Linked DNA regions of Neodiprion lecontei. The protein of the gene in region 1 interacts with the protein of each later gene in a pairwise test. Links are inferred from orthologs where the notes say so. Each region holds a gene or a part of one and is shown in the gene's direction. Other genes may lie near its edges.

Region 1 (8,157 bases):
GTCTCGCGGAAAACATTTTTCTCCGTGTTATTTTCCTAACACAATTCAGCTAATCGATTAATACTTTGATCCTTTAAGGATTTAAGCACATTTAATTTTCTCCCGACGTAACGTCCACGGATCAACAACTCGCACATGCGTGTATCTGATGGCGGTTGGTCAATGAAACCAACCAAATTGGCGTCGCCACTTGCTTGATGTTGGTATTTGATCAGGAATCCCTAACGGGATGCAGGCGATATCTCTAATCATTCTCCCAATTTTTAAAACATAGTCGAACACGCAGGGGACTGCGGCATTTCTACGCAAGTAAAATATTCAGTTACTCGTTAAGGTATGAAAGTAAAACTAAAATTACATGATGTAAATTCTTTATTTTTACTACGTCGCGAACTTCACAAATTTTTCGCATAATCTCGAACAGGATCAGGTCGTATTGGTGATTTGCGAATGAGAATGTTCTTTGTATACCTATGCCTTTTGGACCGTATTTTTTTTTTTTTCTTTTTTTTTTGCACACCACTTTTTCCGTCTGCGAGTTCACCGTCGTCGATTTATGTTTTTGTTACGAAAGTAGTTCTTCGATTTTCACGTCTAGAATTTTGTGTTTCGTAAGGAAAAAAATAATGGCATAACATTGATCGACCTTTTGAGAAATGGGTCAAGTTAAACTTGCTCAATTGTCGTTCACAATGGTGTGCCATTCGCATATTCCCCCCCCCCCCCCCCTTCAATTAATTTGTTAATTGTTTAATCACGGATTAATAGTAACAAATTATGAAATTTGACCCTAGGTACTACTCGACTGAACCGTTAACCGTATTTTTTCCTTTAAGTATTTAACACGTGTTACTAATTTATCCTGTGGATTAAATTCTGTATAAGGTACAAGCACTACTTTGTATCCCTTAGCTTGTAGTAGTCGGATGATCAGCGAATATAAACCCACACACTCTTGGACCCCTCGGCAAAAGTCGTTGTAATAAAGGCTAATCACCGCAAGTCTAAAACAGCAATTTTCAAAATTTTCACAAATAGATTTCAAAGATATAATAAGCGAACGTCATATTCATTTGTATATAGGTACCCCATTCCTTAACAAACTTTACACACTTACCTCGTAGCATTACTGTGTTTCGCCGCTTGACCAATCGGTAGTGGATTGCATTTATCGTCCACATAGCATTCCGCATCTGCGGAATGATAAATCATAAAGAAAAGTTATGAGCTAATTATATCAACTTATCAATGATTCCAATTAATTATAGCTCACCTATAATAAAGCCCATTCCGGTGTTCTCATTGATTTTCAGACAAGTTGATGAAGCGAATAGATTGGAAAGGGTATCGTGCACGGAGGTAACATAGAGCTGTTTTTCTTTGGGTCTATTGATGAATGTCTCATCCGAATTGAGGTCTTCGTTTAAAAATGGCCCTAAATCACATAATCAGATCTCTCGATAAACGAAATACATTTATTAAATATATTTTCAATTATTTTAGAATGATGGCCCATAGTCAACTGCAAACTTACCCGTATAATTTGGGATTAGTAATTTGGCTGCAGCATTAACGTTGAGCAGCTTCACCTTCCTTGGCACCGTCAGACATTGTAAGTCTGTGAAATTTAACCAGAATCGTGATAAGGATCAATGGTATTCACGACCCAGTTTCACTTCAATTCAGAAATATATTTTGAGATACCTGTCAATTTTTGGATAAAAACTGAGTTCAAGGTGCAAGCAACTTGGACAGGATCTGCTATTCCTAGAATTACAGTTGCCCAGACAACATCAAGCCATATTTCCGAAGCGGATACATCAGTCTCCTTCAATGGCTTTATGAATGCCTAGACCATTCAGTAATAAAAATTGAAAAAGCTTCGCAGACAAGAAAAGAGAGGAAAACCAATTCTAAGTAAGTTTGGTACCTTATGCAATTCTGTCATGTTGAAAGGTATGTGTTGAACAGTGGCTAAAGTTAACAACAGGGATGTGATGTACTGTGGCTTCAGTGATCGTGGCTCTGCCAAGATCCATTCGCATAACGCATCCAACAGTTCGGTATTTTTATATCGGAGAAAGCCCAAGGATGTTACGACTGAGCCTATTACAGCGGTACCATTATTCTCAGGAATACGTATGATTAATTCTGAGCTAACTTTCTCCATCAGTACCTACACATTTTTCCCAATATTTGTACATGCCAGAAAAGTGTTGATCTTTGATATTTTGTCTTAAGTAATGATAAGCAGAAAAAAATATTTCGTTTTCATACCTCATCTGGAAAGTTCAGCACAGCCAATGAAAATAGAATGTCAGCACATTCTTTTACATTCATTTTCTCAGTGCTGCGAGAGATATGGTACGACAAAGATCTCAATATGGGTAGGGATCTTCTCCGCTTGTGAGCCAAGGTGGTAAGTACCTAAGAACAGAATGTATTAGGAAAAGAAAACAACTTTGCATGTTTACCGAATTAGGGCTGACCTGGGTCATCTGAGCGAGAGATAGGGTAGAAATGAGTTTTGCTGCCTCATCATCTCCCGCAAGGCTGAGCACAGTTTTTAAATCACCATGTTCGTGGGGTTTGGATGTTGTCGATTGTTCAGCCTGTCCTGCAAGCTGTTTGCAAAGCGACAAGAACCTCGGATCTTTCTCAAAGTCTGCCGGAGTGATTGTCTTTGCATTAATCCACTCGGAGAGAATAGACATAATGTTGAGACCATCTCTTTGAGATATTTTCTCATTTCCTGCTATGCTTAATAACTTGTCGATGGTATTAGCCTCAGAAATATCTTTTCTAATGGAGGATTTTGAAGACCTATCGGCCACTGTTTTCGTGTCATTCAGTATTGCGGCAAATGCCGCTTCGACTAGTTTGTTTTCGGACTTTAGTTTCGGTTTACTCTGCTTTGTACTGGTTTGCTGTTGGACTGGTTTCTTGGGCTGCTGAATTTCAAGAGACAGTAAATGACAAGTGATCAAGAAGGATTAGGAACACTTGTGCAGTAGGCGATAATAGAAATAAATGTAATAAAATTAGGAAAAGACAGCTGAAGGCAAGTTAAGCAGGGAATAAAAACTAAGCTACCAGTTTGTGTATTACTTTGTCAATGGATAGCAAACCTTGTCAACAATAGAAGCAATGTCAGGAACAGGGGCTGCGGAACTGCTGAGTGTTAACAACTGCTGCGAATTAATCCTCCATATCGTACGAGGGGCGAACCTAGTTACCACGTTACACATGGTTCCGCCAAATTGTAGCATTGCCATTAATCTGGAAAATGAATAATTCTTTATGTAATATGCCATAGCATATAAGCAGAAGGACTAGCCCTACTCTGTTCCCAATAACACGTGACATAACACTAAGAGTAACAGGTGATGTTATAAATGACACTCACTCTATATTTACAGGTTAAATGTGTGACGATTATTTCACAGATCATACGTATTTATAAATTATATTATTATCAATTTATGATTTCATATTGAGGTTATGCGGCTGCTGCACATTCGCTCTGCAGTCTGTATTTAAAAGGAACCGTAGATACGAAACTCTGACAGCATATCAAAGAATACATTGACGGGTTGGCGCAATGCGAACCTAGTGGAGTAACGATCAACCAACAGTCAAATAGAGATCATGTCAGCTAGCTCGCTGTTCAATTATTCGCACACCCGGACCCTTTTGGTGTTTCTTAGTAGTCTATGGTAGTTCCATTGAGTTCCTTGAAGTCTGGATATCGCCCTGATTTCGGATTCTTGTGTGCCTTTACGTTCCTCTCGCTGCGGAGTTTAGTTGAATTTTTGCCCTTCTAAATGACGAGTGAATAATTGTTACAACGAGTTGCGAATAGAGCTACGGAAAGAATGCCGGCTCAAGAAATAGTAACTCCCCAACCAGCGGAAGTCGAGGATGCCGCGCCGTCCTCGCAGCCGATCGTCGGCATCATATACCCTCCCCCGGAGGTTAGGAGTATCCTTTATCGAAACTGAATTTTCGAGCAACGTTTTTTCATTTTTTCACTCATCACCCGCTCTTCTAAATTTGCTTAAAATGTGTAAGAACTTTGTAACTGATCGTAACGCGCACCTTTCAGGTGGAGGATAGTAATCAATCGAACCGCTTTTGAAAGAGCCAGTGGGTAAACGAGAGCGAATCGTAAGTCGATGTTGTAAAAATAACAAATCATCACGGAAATATCTTTCAGGTATCAATTTCCTTACACAGCTGATCAGATATCGTTGATAAGACGGCTAGTTTTGTTGCTAGAAATGGCCCAGAGTTTGAGTCGAGGATCCGTCAAAACGAGCTTGGCAACCCAAAGTTCAATTTCCTCAACTTTGGCGATCCGTATCATGCTTATTATCAGCACAAAGTTAAGGAATTCAAGGAGGGAAAGGCACAGGAGCCTGTCATCGGTCTGGGCGTTGGTAAAGGTGTGAATCTCACAGCCCACCAGAAACAACAAGAAATTTTGAAGCAAGTCGAACAGCCGTTCGTACCCAAGGATCCGCCAGTTGATTTTGAATTCATTGCTGATCCCCCGTCTATTTCCGCTCTAGATTTGTAGGCTTACTTTTATTTTACTCTTACTGAATTTATTTTGTATTGCATCCGGTCCATTTTAAACTGTCAATTATTTTACAGAGACATTGTCAAACTGACAGCTCAGTTTGTAGCTCGTAATGGGCGCCAATTTTTGACCAATCTAATGAATCGTGAGCAGAGGAATTTTCAATTTGACTTTTTGCGTCCTCAGCACTCTCTCTTTCAATATTTCACTAAGCTGCTTGAACAGTATACAAAGGTAAGCCCGGTTCGAATACAGAAATGCATATAGAATAGAAATTGGTATTTCATTTATTTGTGCAACAGGTGCTGATTCCTCCGAAAGATTTACTTCCTCGGCTGCGAGATGAAGCCGCGAACATGGACAAGATATTAGAACAAGTGAAATATCGCGCAGAGTGGCTCAAGTATCAGGAGGCACAGAGGCGCAAAGAGGAAGAGGAATTAGAGCGTGAAAGAGTTGCTTATGCTCAAATTGATTGGCATGATTTTGTTGTCGTTGAAACGGTTGACTACCAACAGTTTGAAGTTGGGAATTTCCCCGCTCCCACAACTCCGGACGAGGTTGGAGCTCGTGTTTTGATGCAGGTGCGTGGATTTTCAGTCGTAAACTGTTCAAATGCTATTCAACTTCACACGACACGATTGAATAAGTTTTTAATTTAGTATCACCGGATTAGGACATGTTCTGAGTGAGTTTTTCTTTCAGGAACGCATTGAGGATGGAGAGGAGGTGGAAATGCAGATTGAAAGTGACGGGGATGAAGAGCTCCACTCTCGCGAGGGTGAGAAAGACAGAGCAAAAGATAACAACCAGGTGAATGTCAAGAAATACTGTGAATTAAAAAATTCTGTCCATGCATGAGAATTTTATGTGAATTTCGCAATTATTTTTGTGCTTATCATTATATTATTAGGAGATAATCGCTAATATCGCATGTCAGCAGTATCAGACATTGTAACACCAGTTTTTCCAGGTCCAAGATATGGAGGAAGATTCCAGTGATGACGACGACGTTTCGCCTCCTGGAGATTCAAACAGAGGCAAAGACCAGAGACACCGCGATACCATGCAACCACCGCCGCTACCTCCAACCCCGGGCAATGTCGTCGTCAAGAAGGGGTACGATCCGAAACAACATGGTAAGCTGATGAAGTGTCTCGAGTTTAGGTTATTCGTCGACAACATCGTACACCGCCATCTAATCCAACGAATTAATATCTAGCTTCCGTGAAGAATACTCGCCCCACTGCGCCAGATGAGTATTTGATATCTCCTATAACTGGGGAGAGAATCCCAGCAAGCAAAGTGCAAGAACACATGCGAATTGGTCTGCTGGATCCTCGCTGGGTGGAGCAGCGTGATAAGCACCTGGACAAACTGGCCCAAGAGACCGTATTCGCTCCTGGTACGGCGATAGAAGCAAGTTTGAAGCAGCTGGCCGAGCGGCGTACGGATATTTTCGGTGTGGGAGATGAGGAGACAGCTATTGGTAAGAAGATCGGTGAAGAGGACAAGAAGAAAGACGACAAGGTTACGTGGGACGGTCACACGTCGAGCGTTGAGGCCGCTACGCGCGCCGCTCGCGCTAATATTACACTTGAAGAGCAAATACATCAAATCCATAAGGTTAAAGGCCTTCTGCCTGATGAGGAAAAGGAGAAAATCGGGCCTAAACCCGCCACTCGAGCTGCTGAACTCTCCCACATGGCGGCTGCGGCTTCCAAGCCTCAGGCGACCCTGAAAGCTCCTCCAAAGCCACCCGCGCCCAAACCCGTACCGGTTCCTGCTCAACCACCACCCCCTTCGATTGGAATGTCGACGATGGGTATTCCGCAACCCATAATGCCTCAACCACCTATGATGATGATGGCACCCATGCCGCCGATTCGGCCGCCCCCCTTAATGAGTAAGTTTCACTTCGTCTTTCTGCAGTAATAAAATTTTTTCATCACGTAAGGTTTCATTGTGTTTTCTAATATTGCAGCACCAGCAATGTCGCCGTTCATGCCAACGCCACCCCCGATGCAGCCGCCGTTACCAAGTGGGGTAAGATTTACTTTAATTTACTAAAATTTCACGCACAGCAGCCGTAAAATCGTTATTCTTTTTGTGATATTCCCGACTTTGTTTCGTTACGTATCTACTTGTCCGTTCAAAAAATTGTAGATTGGTATAAAGCATCCTGGCGAGCCAATGGAAGAAGAACCGCAAGCAAAGAAATTGCGTACCGAAGATTCCTTGATACCGGAGCAACAGTTCTTGGCTAGAAATAAGGTAAGTGTTATTAATTGTTTTGCTTTCTCGTTTCGCAGGATTATTCAAGCAACAATCCCACGTTCAAGCTATAATTTTTAACAATGTAATCCGCTGTTCAGGGTCCGGTGCAAGTCAATATCGCCGTTCCTATGATGACCGAGAAAGCTGAGTGGAAGTTGAACGGACAAACTCTGAACATCACGCTGCAATTGAGCGATACCATTGCTACAATGAAGGCAAGCATTCACGAACAGACTGGAATGCCGCCTGGGAAACAAAAGCTTCAATACGAGGTGATTATTGCGATTTATCATACATATATCGGAAACCACTTGTCCTTATTCATTTGTGCGCATTTTGAAATCGTGCTTTAACATTCTTTTTCCAGGGAATGTTCTTCAAGGACAACAACACTCTCGGTTACTATAATTTAGCCTCGGGTAACGTGATAAACCTTTTACCAAAGGAGCGCGGTGGCAGGAAGAAGTAAAAGTTTTTCAGGTAATTACGGCAATTGATTATAAAAATGTCAGTCAATCGACCTACCCTAAGAGAATTTTTAATTTCACTTATACGCTGGATATGCAACAAACTTAAAACTACGTATATTAGTGACTTCTTTTCTTTCTAAGGAAAAGGTAAACCGATTAAATTATCCAACCTCTTATCGAATAAATAATCATCATGGGAATAATATTTTATTAAAACTTGTACTTTACATGGAATTTAGGCACATGGGTGTAAGTTAAATAATTTTTTTTCTCCTCATTCTTCAACAACTTAGAGCGAAATTTCTGAATTTTCTCCTGATTGTATCTTAGCCAGGTAGTCTTTTTGTGCCTTCAAGTACTCAAATTTGCCTAAACAAAGCATAGCTGTTACAAGTTTGCAGTCGGATTACTTGATGAAACTTTTGTCGTTATTTCGCCTACTTACTTCACCATAAATTATATAATATGCCTATTGTATATTATAGTGGAAATGGAATGCGCTAAGTTAAATTATATTATGCAGCGATATTATTGCCATTCGAGTAGATGAAAATTATCCTCGAGTAAATTATATTATTATCCATACATAAAATATCACCTGGATGCCGTTCAAATGTAATTTCACTAACCATTGACTATAAAGAGATATCGATTAATTAAATTGGAATAAACTTTTAAACAAGCAGTAGACCAAAAGCATTTCCAGAATGCTTAGGAGCCTAAAATTTCTATTGTCATTCATCGAATTAAAATTAAATAAAAGTCTTCTAATTAACTAGCCCTATCGTCAGTGCAGTAGAAAACTAATCAGAGGTACTTGTATTGTCG
Region 2 (9,046 bases), on another chromosome or scaffold:
AATCGAATCTGAGACCAAAAGTTTTTTGCCAAAAAAAAAAGTAAGGCTAACCCCTTTCCATTTTTGGCGAAAATTTTCGCGATTTTGAAAAGTGCAGAAATCAATCAATTGTAGCACCGATCGGACGTAATTTTGCGAGAGAAATCGATTGGGCGCAGTCCCAATACGCTGCGATCAACGCATCAAAAGTTACAGCCAAAAAACCGGAACCCGAATTTTCGACATTTTTCAGCAGGTGCTTTTTCGCTCGCCATTTCTCTCCTGTTGGTCCTACGCTCTTTTCGCTGCGATTTCTGAGTTCCTGAGGGTCCAATTGGTCGGTTAAGGATCGTTTAAATCGAATCTGAGACCAAAAGTTTTTTGCCAAAAAAAAAAGTAAGGCTAACCCCTTTCCATTTTTGGCGAAAATTTTCGCGATTTTGAAAAGTGCTGGAATCAATCAATTGTAGCACTGATCGGACGTAATTTTGCGAGAGAAATCGATTGGGCGCAGTCCCAATACGCTGCGATCAACGCTTCAGAAGTTACAGCCAAAAAACCAGAACCTGAATTTTCGACATTTTTCAGCAGGTGCTTTTTCGCTCGCCATTTCTCTCCTGTTGGTCCTACGCTCTTTTCGCTGCGATTTCTGAGTTCCTAAGGGTCCCATTGGTCGGACAAGGATCGTTTAAATCGAATCTGAGACCAAAAGTTTTTTGCCAAAAAAAAAAGTAAGGCTAACCCCTTTCCATTTTTGGCGAAAATTTTCGCGATTTTGAAAAGTGCTGGAATCAATCAATTGTAGCACTGATCAGACGTAATTTTGCGAGAGAAATCGATTGGGCGCAGTCCCAATACGCTGCGATCAACGCATCAAAAGTTACAGCCAAAAAACCAGAACCTGAATTTTCGACATTTTTCAGCAGGTGCTTTTTCGCTCGCCATTTCTCTCCTGTTGGTCCTACGCTCTTTTCGCTGCGATTTCTGAGTTCCTGAGGGTCCAATTGGTCGGTTAAGGATCGTTTAAATCGAATCTGAGACCAAAAGTTTTTTGCCAAAAAAAAAAGTAAGGCCAACCCCTTTCCATTTTTGGCGAAAATTTTCGCGATTTTGAAAAGTGCAGAAATCAATCAATTGTCGCACCGATCGGACGTAATTTTGCGAGAGAAATCGATTGGGCGCAGTCCCAATACGCTGCGATCAACGCATCAAAAGTTACAGCCAAAAAACCGGAACCCGAATTTTCGACATTTTTCAGCAGGTGCTTTTTCGCTCGCCATTTCTCTCCTGTTGGTCCTACGCTCTTTTCGCTGCGATTTCTGAGTTCCTGAGGGTCCAATTGGTCGGTTAAAGATCGTTCAAATCGAATCTGAGACCAAAAGTTTTTTGCCAAAAAAAAAGTAAGGCTAACCCCTTTCCATTTTTGGAGAAAATTTTCGCGATTTTGAAAAGTGCTGGAATCAATTAATTGTAGCACTGATCGGACGTAATTTTGCGAGAGAAATCGATCGGGCGCAGTCCCAATACGCTGCGATCAACGCATCAAAAGTTACAGCCAAAAAACCGGAACCCGAATTTTCGACATTTTTCAGCAGGTGCTTTTTCGCTCGCCATTTCTCTCCTGTTGGTCCTACGCTCTTTTCGCTGCGATTTCTGAGTTCCTAAGGGTCCCATTGGTCGGACAAGGATCGTTTAAATCGAATCTGAGACCAAAAGTTTTTTGCCAAAAAAAAAAGTAAGGCTAACCCCTTTCCATTTTTGGCGAAAATTTTCGCGATTTTGAAGAGTGCTGGAATCAATCAATTGTAGCACTGATCGGACGTACTTTTGCGAGAGAAATCGATTGGGCGCAGTCCCAATACGCTGCGATCAACGCATCAAAAGTTACAGCAAAAAACCAGAACCTGAATTTTCGACATTTTTCAGCAGGTGCTTTTTCGCTCGCCATTTCTCTCCTGTTGGTCCTACGCTCTTTTCGCTGCGATTTCTGAGTTCCTGAGGGTCCAATTGGTCGGTTAAGGATCGTTTAAATCGAATCTGAGACCAAAAGTTTTTTGCCAAAAAAAAAAGTAAGGCTAACCCCTTTCCATTTTTGGCGAAAATTTTCGCGATTTTGAAAAGTGCTGGAATCAATCAATTGTAGCACTGATCGGACGTAATTTTGCGAGAGAAATCGATTGGGCGCAGTCCCAATACGCTGCGATCAACGCTTCAGAAGTTACAGCCAAAAAACCAGAACCTGAATTTTCGACATTTTTCAGCAGGTGCTTTTTCGCTCGCCATTTCTCTCCCGTTGGTCCTACGCTCTTTTCGCTGCGATTTCTGAGTTCCTGAGGGTCCAATTGGTCGGATAAGGATCGTTTGAATCGAATCTGAGACCAAAAGTTTTTTGCCAAAAAAAAAAGTAAGGCTAACCCCTTTCCATTTTTGGCGAAAATTTTCGCGATTTTGAAAAGTGCTGGAATCAATTAATTGTAGCACTGATCAGACGTAATTTTGCGAGAGAAATCGATTGGGCGCAGTCCCAATACGCTGCGATCAACGCATCAAAAGTTACAGCCAAAAAACCGGAACCCGAATTTTCGACATTTTTCAGCAGGTGCTTTTTCGCTCGCCATTTCTCTCCTGTTGGTCCTACGCTCTTTTCGCTGCGATTTCTGAGTTCCTAAGGGTCCCATTGGTCGGACAAGGATCGTTTAAATCGAATCTGAGACCAAAAGTTTTTTGCCAAATAAAAAAGTAAGGCTAACCCCTTTCCATTTTTGGCGAAAATTTTCGCGATTTTGAAAAGTGCTGGAATCAATTAATTGTAGCACAGATCGGACGTAATCTTGCGAGAGAAATCGATTGGGCGCAGTCCCAATACGCTGCGATCAACGCATCAAAAGTTACAGCCAAAAAACCAGAACCTGAATTTTCGACATTTTTCAGCAGGTGCTTTTTCGCTCGCCATTTCTCTCCTGTTGGTCCTACGCTCTTTTCGCTGCGATTTCTGAGTTCCTGAGGGCCCAATTGGTCGGACAAGGATCGTTTAAATCGAATCTGAGACCAAAAGTTTTTTGCCAAAAAAAAAGTAAGGCTAACCCCTCTGTATTTTTTGCGAAAATTTTGGCGATTTCCAAAAGAGCTGGAATAAATTCTTTCTGGCACTGTCCCGACGTAGTTCTGTGAGAGAAATCGATTGGGCGCAGTCCCAATACGCCGCGATCAACGCATCAAAAGTTACAGCCGAAAAATACGGAAATTCATGAGTACTTCTTTGGCTGTTCTATTTCCGTCACCGAGGTCCCAATTAGTCAAAACGAAATCCTACAAATAGCTCCGAGTCGAAAAAGTGTAGAGTTAAAAAATCGAAAATAAACAACGCTAAACCTCCCGACTAACACATCAAAAGATCTGGCTAGAACACAAAATCTGCACACGGCCATCAGAAAGGTGCGAAAGAAAATTCACAAATTTGTAGCTACGAAGTCTCAGCTTCTCATTCATTTTGTCCTAATTCTATTACAAGTGTTTACGTGTCAGTGTATAGTAATTTAACAACTTGCCACATAGTATCAAGATTATACTCCAAGTTTTGACTTGCGTAGAAGTCCGACGCACCTCTGCAGGATTGTAAACATTATGTATTGTATTGTATTGTTACTACTTTATGTATCTTGCATCGAAATAAATAAACATTGGATCCTTTCCATAATATATTTCTCTTTTGTTAGCTGTTGGTCCCACATCGATTTAAACGCCCTTTATGGAAACCTTAAGGTCTAATCAGTCTATGAACAGTCATACAAATAGACCCTAAGACAAACAGTCTTTTGTTTCAAAAATCACTAAAAAAAAGTGCATAAGGCCCTCTGGGTATTAGGGTAAAATTTTGACGATTCCGAATATCGCTACAATAAATTCTTTCATGCTATTGCATTCCATCAACCTAATTGCGCGAATGGAATTGAGTACGTACTCGACGAAAATCACGAGAGAAGTAAGGCTAACACCTTTTGATTTTTCATCGATTCATCTTTTACAGATTTTCAAAAATGCTGAAATTGATTCATTCGGACCCTATAACGATGTCATTTTCGAAAGGACTCTCGTGCGTACAGTCGTCTCATCTCGCTGTGAGCAGCGGACTAAAAGTTACGGCCGGAAAACATGAACTTTCTCTGTATTTTGTTTGTGTGTTCTCCACTATTGGTCTCACGATGTTCTCGATGTCTTTTTTTTATATTCCCGTCGGTGAATCACACGAAGTTTTCTCTGAGGATAGTATGAAAGACCATTAGATTAATTCTTTGTAACCACGGTCTTAACATTTGACCCGAGAGTGCGACATACTATATCACTATACTTATTTCATTTGTATTATACGCCGGGTATTTGCGAAAGAGGAGTATTGCACCTGCAGCGATATATAAAAAATTCTGTCAATATTGAGACATTTTGAATAAGGCTACAGTGCAATTATAGTATAAAGCAACGAAAAGTCGATTTTCAATTAAGGTGAGTATCGATCTTACATGCATATTTCTATCATGTAGCTATCGATTACATGCAGTCGGTGCAATGGTTGAAGTTTCATAGTTGACACGCTTGCGGTAACCTCTCGATGCTCGAAACATCATCACTTTCTATAAATTTACAGGTTTACATACTTTTTCTAAAAGACTTTAAATTCAAGGTGCTATTATTGAAACCTGATTGAAACTTAAAACACCATAACCTAACTTTTAGGAACAGAACGCGTCCACAATGCTTTAAGCCGCATGATTAACTGACGCATTTTAGGCTAGTACACATTTTTATCAGTATTACTTTTAGAATACTAATAGCGTGAAATATTCAGATTTTTTAGATCCCAGCCAATATGGATTTCCAAAATAGGCCAGGTGGTAAAACTGGGGGCGGAGGAGTGGCCTCCTGGTCAGAAAGTAATCGCGACCGAAGAGAGCGTCTTCGACAACTTGCTCTGGAAACAATTGATTTAAACAAGGATCCCTACTTTATGAAAAATCACTTGGGCTCATATGAATGCAAGCTTTGCTTGACGCTGCACAACAACGAAGGAAGTTACTTGGCGCACACACAGGGTAAAAAGCATCAGGCAAATCTAGCTAGAAGAGCTGCGAAGGAAGCTAAAGAAGCTCCGCAAACTCTTGCTCCTGAAAAACCGAGAGTTGAACCAAAAAAATTTGTCAAAATTGGTCGGCCTGGTTATAGGGTGACAAAACAGAGAGATCCAGAATCTGGTCAGCAAAGCTTACTTTTTCAAGTTGACTACCCAGAAGTTGCTGACAATGTGATACCACGACACAGATTTATGTCTGCATATGAACAACGAGTTGAACCCCCAGATCGTAAATGGCAATACCTGCTGTTTGCTGCCGAACCATACGAGACTATCGCGTTCAAGGTAACTTGCTTACAGCAATGGATTACGGAATGTTTCAGACAGATTTCCTTCTTTCTCATTTGAATAATATTTGCAATGTTTCATCATCAGGTTCCCAGCAGAGAAGTAGAGAAGGCTGAGGGCAAATTTTGGACACATTGGAATAAGGACACGAAACAATTCTTTCTTCAATTTGCATTCAAAAATGAAAAACCATCAATTGGTAAAATTCCACCTCCTCCCGTTCCACTTATACGGCCAGGGATGGGAGCACCTATGATGCCTGTTCCACCGCCACCAAAACCCCCAATGTTCAATCCAGTACCCCCGCCCCCTGCATTATTGGCTGGAATGCAAATTCCACCTCCACCACCTCATCTGAATTAAATAAAATTTAGTAGCTGTGTGGATAAAGCTGAATATTTTTATCTGTTCAATGGTCATTCATCCATCAAGTGTAAGTTGCACTATCACAGAATAGGACAGAGATTGGTTCTGAAGTTACGACAAAAATTTGAGGTTGGAAATGGAAGTGGTGTAGTCTACAGAGCTCCTATGTGTTCTAGTTTTCATGAATATTTCTTGTCATCTTCCTACAAAATGATGCTGCAGATGCAATATTAATATCATGGAAGAAGAATGTTTTCAAAAACCAATCTTGATTTTTTTTAACCAAGACAAAATGTGAGAGTGATCCGAACTTTCCAAAGGATTTCAGGTTGGAATATATTGTTTCAAGGTGTACTCCAATTGTAAACATGTCACCAATGCATCGATTTATAAGAGGTATTGCAAATGGTACTGATTCAATTGTGCTTCAGCAAGTCATTATTATACAAAATATTCATGAAATTCACGCGTTTGAATGTATCAAAATTTTATATTACAACAACGGTACAATGAAATGCAGGTTTCAATTACCTACCACGTATCATACGTGGTGGAATGTGTACACCCACAGCAATTGATTCTATCATTGACAACTTAAATTCTTCATCTAACGGCATTGTGACAAAATCAACCACCTTGAAAGTACATAGAGTAAATTGAGTTCACACCGGCGTCATACATCAGCAAAACTTGCTGTCACATTCGGCTACGCTAGTGTAATCCTGATTACAAGTATAGACTGTCTACCATATTTTATTATAGGTACATCTCATGATATCCGTAGTATAGTATAATATAAAAGCTTGAATAATTAAGTATCGTTATAACATGACCGATTATTACTGCTTATTCGTTAGTATAATTTTCTCCTTACAAGTTTTTCTCTCACACTAGGCATCATTGTTATTACTAGTATCATATATTCTTAATCACAGCTTAAATTATTAAATCACCAATGGAGTCATATAATTTACGAGGAAGAGAATTTGTTGATTACGAATGAAGTCATTGCTTGTGCAATTTTTTCACGACACTGCCTTTGCGTAATTGTAAATTTTGCAACAAATGGTATGGAATGTCCAGAATTACTTGACGTTTGTAACTTATGTTGAATTTACATTAAGTATGATGCACATATATATATATCTGTATACTCTCTATGATTGATCTTAACGATTTTGCATAAGCTGACAGCTGTTTTCATATTTTTACTAGCCCCATAACAAACTAATACAGCGTTTTATGATAATTTATCTGTGGAGAATTTTTCCATCATGTTACACTAATACAATCACCAATTGGAATGGAGTGTCAGTGCATCAAGTCTGATATATGAAGTGTACTAACAATAAATTTCATAATCCGTACAAACTAATGAGATGTGACTACATAGAATTAGATATACCTATAATGATTGCGAACTTTCAAAAATCGAACTCAAATGAAAACTTATATACTATTTGGAATTTTCAACACTACCACTACATTATATAAAAATAACAATCGACATAATAAAAAAATATTTTAGGTGCAAAATAAATGCTTGTTTCTTGAACCAGTTGTTTTACTTTGTTTCTTTTACTTATGTCGTGTTCTCTCTGTTTACGTTCTTTCGTACTAATAGTAGCTAAGGTAGATGTACCTGCAGCAGTATTCTTATGCTTATAATTTTGAAAGCAGTGCGACTTATCTACAGACTCTGCCATGAGGATTAATCTGATGCTCTCCTTAAATTTATAATCATTAAGTGCTCTTACTGATCAATTGTCTCAAATATAAAACGACAATCTATCTGCATGCTATACATATAATTTCTCTTGTAATGAACACCCGATTAGCCGCAGAGTATAGTTGGCTCTATTGTTAGTGCAAAACCGCACACTTCTAGTTGGGGAGGTTTAAATTAGTGCTGCATTCTGTACCCCGGGTCTGTTTTCATTATTTTCACAAGTATAGAATGCACAATATGTAGATCTGTATGTTTATGAGCAATGAATCTTATGTATATGGATGCTGATACTGCAAATTTTTTAATTTAATTTTCTCTACCAACAAAAGGAACAGTTTTGCAGTGCTAACAGTGCTCCATTTTATGTATCAAATAAGAGCTGCATTTTAATACGTCTATACGTAGGAGTTTACGCTCCTGCAATGTCATAGTAATATGTATCATACAGTAAATTATTAATATTTATGGTATGCCCTATGACACTTTGTCCCAAGGGTACATAGCGTACAATAGAATTAAATGTATCAGCATTCCATTGACGGCGAGCAGAATGGTTCGCATTAATTTTGCATTTCAAAATTAGTTGAAACATTGGTCAGTAAAGATTAGTTCAATCTATTTTGACATCAACCATGACTAAATACATGTCGGTAAAAAATCTGTAGCGTTGAATTTAGAATAAACTTTGCTAATTTGATTTCGACATATTAGAAATGCCATGGGCTGAATAAGATCTTTTCAGCATCTTCAGGCAACTTCGTATAGAGATTTTTACTCTTTCACACGATCTGATAATGAAATTTGGCATTACGACACGTGGTATATACATAAATGTGCGTACATATTTATATATATGCTTTTATATTCTGATATACCATTAACTCGGACAACTTTAAACTAGGGGTGCAACTTTGGAACAGCATGAAATTTTGCTACTTGTACTTCGGGTTTTGGCTGAAAATTCAAAATCCAAAAATTTCCCACTATCGCATAGTTGCACCCCCAGTTCCAAATTTAACCCCGTGTTCAGTAGGAGTCGAAGGTTTTGCACGATTGTCGAAACCATCTGACGAATGATCAATGAATGGTTATCTATCGATAACCCGTTTCTATCTGAGGCAGCGTAACCACTTTGGCAACATGGCTGCGCACCTCAGATAATCTCAAATAGATCCACTACTGTCCCCTGGAAAAACCATCATATTCTCGGCTCCGTAGGAAGGCGTTGGTGAACTTCGTGCATCCAGGGAGGCTCTGCTGGCCGAGCTGAAGCTACTGGAGCTCAAATCTTCGTAACTCGCTACAGATTGGCTACCTCCTGCAACACAGAAGACCTTTATTTGTAGGCACTTTATCACAAAATACAATTATTATTGAAGGAATTGGATGCTAGTAAAGTGATTTGAGAATCAGTGAAATAGCAAAGTTGTTTTCAAAAGTATAGCAGAAAACCGTGGGGTGGTAAAGAATGTAACACATCATATGGAGGATAACGACATTAAGACGAGTAATTGTGGTTCTAACGGTTTATTTTAATTTTTTTTTTTTTTTAGATTACT

What was found. The genes of interacting proteins can lie anywhere in the genome.
Region 2: the proteins of splicing factor 3A subunit 1 (region 1) and splicing factor 3A subunit 2 interact in a two-hybrid assay, tested with the Caenorhabditis elegans proteins (2 studies listed by BioGRID). The link is inferred for Neodiprion lecontei from reciprocal best matches to the Caenorhabditis elegans genes prp-21 and repo-1.

What each region holds. Positions count from the first base shown.
Region 1 is NC_060260.1:1,605,692-1,613,848, forward strand, and holds the start of splicing factor 3A subunit 1, read left to right. Parts: upstream 1-3,680; 5' UTR 3,681-3,875; coding exon 3,876-3,981; intron 3,982-4,244; coding exon 4,245-4,575; intron 4,576-4,656; coding exon 4,657-4,816; intron 4,817-4,884; coding exon 4,885-5,166; intron 5,167-5,287; coding exon 5,288-5,395; intron 5,396-5,555; coding exon 5,556-5,721; intron 5,722-5,804; coding exon 5,805-6,488; intron 6,489-6,566; coding exon 6,567-6,628; intron 6,629-6,748; coding exon 6,749-6,856; intron 6,857-6,957; coding exon 6,958-7,131; intron 7,132-7,226; coding exon 7,227-7,328; 3' UTR 7,329-7,339; intron 7,340-7,505; exon of another isoform or gene 7,506-8,157. Other genes in the region: probable enoyl-CoA hydratase, read right to left, coding at 1-16; FAST kinase domain-containing protein 4, read right to left, coding at 791-1,004, 1,118-1,193, 1,274-1,435, 1,535-1,618, 1,705-1,849, 1,931-2,176, 2,278-2,427, 2,490-2,951 and 1 more.
Region 2 is NC_060265.1:2,959,754-2,968,799, forward strand, and holds splicing factor 3A subunit 2, read left to right. Parts: upstream 1-4,114; 5' UTR 4,115-4,479; intron 4,480-4,506; exon of another isoform or gene 4,507-4,657; intron 4,658-4,661; exon of another isoform or gene 4,662-4,764; intron 4,765-4,822; 5' UTR 4,823-4,843; coding exon 4,844-5,389; intron 5,390-5,479; coding exon 5,480-5,755; 3' UTR 5,756-7,313; downstream 7,314-9,046.